Linked DNA regions of Kluyveromyces lactis. The protein of the gene in region 2 interacts with the protein of the main gene of each other region in a biochemical or structural test. Links are inferred from orthologs where the notes say so. Each region holds a gene or a part of one and is shown on either strand. Other genes may lie near its edges.

Region 1 (2,888 bases), on a different chromosome or scaffold from region 2:
CATCGTTACCGAGTAACTTACAAGATAAGGAATTTTCCTTTTATAAAACTAAGGTGGATAAGGTTCTAGAAAATGTATTGGAAAACGAGGGCACAAGATATGCGTTGAGTGAAATATTCGCCAACTTGAACGATTCAAAACGGGTTACAGATTTAATTACAAAATGGATGCTGTCGGATATGTCGGTGAATTCGTGGTGTCCTTCTTTCCGTAAATTGATCGAAAATGCACAGATATGATATTTTAACTGGGGGAAGGGTTTCAGATTATAGAGCTTAAATTTAAATTGATCTTTTAGAGCATTGATCTCGTCGTTTTGTTTATAACAACTAAATTACAGATTAGATAAAAACCATTAGATAACATACACAAACAGAAAAAAAATTAATAATGAACGTGAAAGAAGGATGAAGATACCTTCTATTCTCATTTCTTTTCAAGTATTTGGTGTTATTCATATGTTATGTGTGAATTGCACGATGCGATGCTCCCTGGAGAAAATATTCAACCATGAATATATTAGCTATGCCTTATGAGGTTTATTTGATTCCTTTCGAACTGTATCGTATTGAACATTAGAAGATTGTCGAAGTTTTTTCTGATTTTTCGGTAGATGTTAATGATACTACTATTTTGATACGTCATATCAATTAATCTACATTCTCTTTCTCTTACCGACGGTGGCTTGGAAACCGGTCTTGATGGAGGAAACGGATCTAGTAGAACCGCAACTCTTACAAACCAAGAAGAACAATCTGTTCGATTGTTCCTTCTTCAATACGGTATTGATACTCTTACAAGTCTTACAGGTGACATATTCCAGAATATACCTTCTTAATAGATTTTCCATTTGCTTTGGCAAGAACTTACCCTTGATGACCAATCTCTTTTGACCGTCAACAGAACCTGAGGTACCCAATTCCGCAAATAGATACTGGATTACATGTTCTGGGGATCTTTGTAATTTTTCACTAATTTCTTGGATGTTCGCAAATATAGTCTTCTTACCATCTCTTTGACAGATTGGTGGAGGGATCTTGAACTTTGGACCTGATCTATCACCGGCCAATTCAGGATTATTTGTGTTCAAAATCTTAAAGAAACGAGACAATAGGTCTTGGTATGGTAGGCCAACATCTTGTTGAATGCTAGAATCGATTTCAGTTGGAGTGGCCTCCTTGGCAATATCATCGACTGAAATACCTGCTTGTTCTAATTGCTTCTCAAAGTCATCCACACTGCTCTCGGCAGCAGCAGCCTTCTTCTTCTTTTTCTTCAACTTCAATTCGCCTAGAGCATCTGAAATGTCGTCCACTTGCTTCTCAGTGGTTTCTTCACCTTCCTTGCTCTTCTTCTTCTTCTTCTTCAAACCAGCAAAAAGATCATCTGTTCCCTCGGTGGAAGCAGCAATCAGTTCTTCCGGAACTACCTTCTTGCTCTTCTTCTTCTTCATCGTTGGATCGAATCCTAAGTCGGCCGCAACATCAGTCATCGTTGAGTATCTTTGTATCTTCTCGCTTCTTGCTAATCTCCTTAGTAATAACGGAAAGGGCCTTGAACTTTACACGAACTAGACTCTTGCCAACAGATTTCCACAGAAGTTGTCTTACCCTTGTGCAAATATGAGCTGAAGAATCCAATAGGATATTGAATAGCGATGACAATTGCGATCCAGTCGTTTCAATTCTCTTGGTTTTCCGAAAACTCACTATTTTCAAAATTTTCCCAGGCCACGCGATAGTGTTGTCATTGTGCACGTTCAGTGTTCGGGTAACACACGTGACTTATCTATTCTTTGGCCTTTGAGTCTGGTTAGATAAAACTCCGCTTGTTGGGCGCATGAGGTAGGTGTACCTATGTTTATTGATGATTAGTATACAGTTATGTACATGGACATTTGGTTCATATTTTATGCTCAAATTGGCCACAATACAGCTTTCCAGCCGAATGATTTTTTTTTGACCACGGTTCATTTTCAGAGGAAACTTATTCTAGTTGAAGCTTTTCAGTTTGCTCTCTTAGAGCTTCTGTAGCTTCTTTGGTCACTTGTTCAATCTCTGTACCTTCTCTAAATTGGACGTTGTCGATAGATGCGGGCTGTGAGGCTTGTTCTCCTTCCTTTTCCGATGAAGTTTCTTCCTCATTTTCGGTCGATTCGGGTTCCACGTCGAACTTCTTCAAGTAATATGTTTCTATCTCTTCTTGTCCGTTGTTTTCAGCTTCGTAGATGGCATCATGGTCGAAATTATTCCTGATGAATGGATCAGCCTCATACTCTTCACAAAGAAGCTGTACTATATCCAATTTACCATTCAACGAAGCCCAGTGCAATGCAGTGTTACCTGTTTCGTTTTGCTTGTTGACCCATTCCTTTAGTTTATCCTTTGGGAAAATGCTTAGTAGATATTTTACCACCTCGAAATGACCGTTGGCGGCTGCCATATGCAAGGCAGATGACTTAGACAATTCATCTGTACATTCAATGAGTGCACTTGGATCTATCAAAGTGGTAAAAATATCCTTAAGAGACTCCAAATCTCCAGCTCTTGCATCAACGATGATAGCTTCTTGATCTTCTTGATCTAAAGGTCCTGTATGTAGACTCATCTTACAATAATTTCGTTCTGTATTTTGGGCTTGATTGCGTAGTTTTCCTGTTCTCTGTTCATATCTTAGCTCATCTCATCTCATAATCCAAATTCTGTGAACTTTTCAATTTTTCATGTTAAAAGGTTACTTTTTCTTTTTCTCCGAAATAGATGTGCTAAAGGCTTTAAATATAATTCAGGACATCTCTGAGCACCTCTCTTTAGAACAACATGATCACGCCTACATCGGGAGAGTGTCAGCTGCGCCTTCAAGACCTGACATCGGTTTCACAAAATGTC
Region 2 (3,106 bases):
TAGGCGTGTTCAAAGAGCCTATTTGCTGCAAACTCGATTCCTCTGACAGGAATGAAAGATCCATTGCAGACGAGAGGTTGGAATCATTCATTGTTACAGTACGCCATAGAAATCAAACCTACAGATCATTCATGTAATGAAACCGTCTGATGAAAGTGTATTTTTACTCTTCTTCCAACAAGATTCGCACCCTATTCTTCTCTTTTGACAGGACCTAGTATTCTTCTTGTCCATTCAGGATGTAAATATGATTTGATCTCAAATTGTGTCTTCTTTTTCCACGAAAGTGTAAACAAAAGAGAGAAAAGGATCATCACAGCTGAATATTGAAAGACAATAAATAGGTTATAAGAAGACAAGGGCAGGTCGGCACGGCGCACCTATCAGTGCCATTCTTGAGCCGCTAATGATGTATGCGCAAGGTCATGAATGTATTAAACATATGCGTATATATGATAGTATACATACAGTATTTTACAGAGCTAAAGGATAAATATTGAAGAGATTTAGTTCGCTCTTGATAAAATGAAAATGATATTTATTCTGTTAATGCAAAACAAGGAGATGGTTAGGATGATAAATAGAAAACGAAACACCGAAAAATCTGGTTAAAATTTGAATAGTATTTGAACTTTGACCATTTTCTTATAAGATCATGATTTTCTTTATTCCGAATCCTCATCATCTTCTTCGGCAGTTTTCAACCAAGTGATGAATGGCTTGGCAGCTCTACGAACCTTCTTAGAAACATCCTTTGGTACAAACTTCTTAGAGCATTTGGTACCGAAGCTGATAATCTCTTCTTCGGAAATGATGTCGTTGTTGTATAATTGGACCAAGATCTTTGGTAGTAATGGGATCAATTCTTGGTGATCAAGTCCAAGGAATCTTTCAATACCACCCAAAAAGTTCTTTTCGAAGTCTTCGTCCTTCAATAATTTTTGCAAGAACGCAGTATGTTCAGAGATATCCGATACGATATCTTCATCGAAAAGAACTTGGGCCAGAACTGCAGCAACCTTTGGATCTTCCAGAAGCTCGAGTTCTGCAATCTTTTTGTATAATTCAATATCGGTAGGTAGTTCTTCTTCATGTAGTACCCATTCACCAAATTCTTCCAACTTGGAGAATTCGCCAGTTTCTTTGTCAGCTTCACCTTGTAATTCTTTCGCACGAGCTCTGATGGCTTCTTCAGACATATCAACGGCCCAGTCCTCATCCTTGACTTCAATGGTAGCCAAGTTAGAGGCAGCGGCATTAATTTGTCTGGCCAATTCATCATCATCGGAATCGTTTTCTTCGGCATCGTCACCAGCTTCAGCTTGGGATTTACCTTGAGCGATATCACTAATAGAAAGACCACCACCTCTGACATTAGCAGACGCAGTGGCAGCCTTCTTCTTTTTCTTGGAACCGTTCATACTGTCAGGAGGGTTCTTTAAGACGAACGAGGACAACTTATGTCTCAAATCCATAGGGGTTCTCTTACCACAAGCTTTACAGTCTCTAACCAAATCACCATCTTTAGTGATAACAATTTCAGTTTCAGGATTCTTACAGGATCCACAAAGGACAAACTTAGTGATGAAACCATCCAATACGTCCTGTAATTTGGCTGGTTGATGAGCACCATTGACAATGTAACGATCATTTTCAACATTGATAGCAGTTTGGGCACCCAATTCAAACCCGAAATATTTGATGATGTATGGAGCTGGTCTGTTTAAAGCACGGGCAACATCCATGGTATTCATAACAACAGTTTTGATACCATTACCTCTACCTTCAATCTTAGCCTGAATTGGAGGCATTTTATAACGGTAGAAAGGGTCATTGTTGTCTCTGCAAATATTGATTGACATCTTCGGCTACTGTTACTAATCTCTAGTCACTTGTTTCTGCTACCACCGTGTCTTTGACGTTCTTCAAGTCTGGAAAACACAAAAACTTTTAAAAGTAAGTTCGAACTGATCCTGTATTGGACTGTAAAACGGGGTCATTAACGCCTTCTTGAATCATGTATATGGAAGAAGTTCATCTCATCTCTTAGAAGTTCAACTTCAACTCTTCGCGTGTGGCAATCAGATACTGAGGCCTTGATTCCTGAAAAATTTTCGTCGTTTATGGTGATATGAAAATACATGTCGAAACGGAGCATGTGTCACGTGCTTTAGCTCCAACGATTCATTTGGCTCTGTGATTGTTTAAGCATCGGTTCTGTAAGAGACATATTACAGGGTATAACATGGGTGAGATACGTATGGTGGTGTTAAATGTTTGAATACCTTCAATACAATTACTGCTCGTGGAATTTAGTGAGTAATTTACTGTGTTGAAATTGTGCTCGAATCTCACATACATCTTAGGGTCGAAATCTAACTTTGTTCATATCATGGATTTACTTAAGAACAAATTACTGGCAATCCATAAGACTGGCGCATGGGCCATTCTGCCACCTAAAGAAATTGATTTGGCTTATAAGGAAACGAAACTTTTGATAGATGCTGGGTTAAATGGGCTTGACGAAATTAGTTATTTCTCAATGGTCGAATTATTGTTTTATCTTTGTCTTGTTCGTGGTGAAGACACAGAGGCTGAAACATTGTACAAAACTGTGACAGATCGTCTAGGTGACGATTCTCCAAGAATTCATGTGATGCACTCTATGTTAATACAGGTCACTCGATCCGATGATGCGGCTAAGAAATATATCGAGGATTTGATCAAGAATCAGCTGGAAATAGCTACTGATTCAGAAGACTACGTACAGATGAAGAAAAGGCTACTTGCGATAGAGAGACCTTCGATGAGTAAAGAAAAATGGGTAAAAGAACTACTGGATCTGGTTGAGAAGTTTCCTCTAGATGCAGAAATATGGTCGTTACTTTCGCAAGAATACCAGGAGGCTGGGGACCTACGTCAAGCAATATATTGCATGGAAGAAGTCATAATTGGGGTGCCGTTCAGTTATGAAGCATTTGGTCAATTAGCTTATTTGCATTACTTGAAGTCTCAATCAGATTCTGACCCTGAAGCTGCTTTGCAATCAAGTTTATCAAATGCGTTGAGATCTGTTGAGTTGGCAGAAGCCTACGTGAAAGGTTGG

The links.
Region 1: the proteins of TIF5 (region 2) and SUI3 form a complex in vitro, tested with the Saccharomyces cerevisiae proteins (6 studies listed by BioGRID, with this or other methods). The link is inferred for Kluyveromyces lactis from reciprocal best matches to the Saccharomyces cerevisiae genes TIF5 and SUI3.

What each region holds. Positions count from the first base shown.
Region 1 is NC_006040.1:750,547-753,434, reverse strand, and holds SUI3 (translation initiation factor eIF2 subunit beta), read right to left. Parts: upstream 1,493-2,888; coding exon 656-1,492; downstream 1-655. Other genes in the region: ADD37 (Add37p), read left to right, coding at 1-239; YAR1 (Yar1p), read right to left, coding at 1,987-2,607; RTP1 (Rtp1p), read left to right, coding at 2,884-2,888. UniProt on the Saccharomyces cerevisiae protein: Component of the eIF2 complex that functions in the early steps of protein synthesis by forming a ternary complex with GTP and initiator tRNA.
Region 2 is NC_006041.1:552,021-555,126, forward strand, and holds TIF5 (translation initiation factor eIF5), read right to left. Parts: upstream 1,863-3,106; coding exon 666-1,862; downstream 1-665. Other genes in the region: BIR1 (survivin), read right to left, coding at 1-91; EMC2 (Emc2p), read left to right, coding at 2,393-3,106. UniProt on the Saccharomyces cerevisiae protein: Catalyzes the hydrolysis of GTP bound to the 40S ribosomal initiation complex (40S.mRNA.Met-tRNA[F].eIF-2.GTP) with the subsequent joining of a 60S ribosomal subunit resulting in the release of eIF-2 and the guanine nucleotide.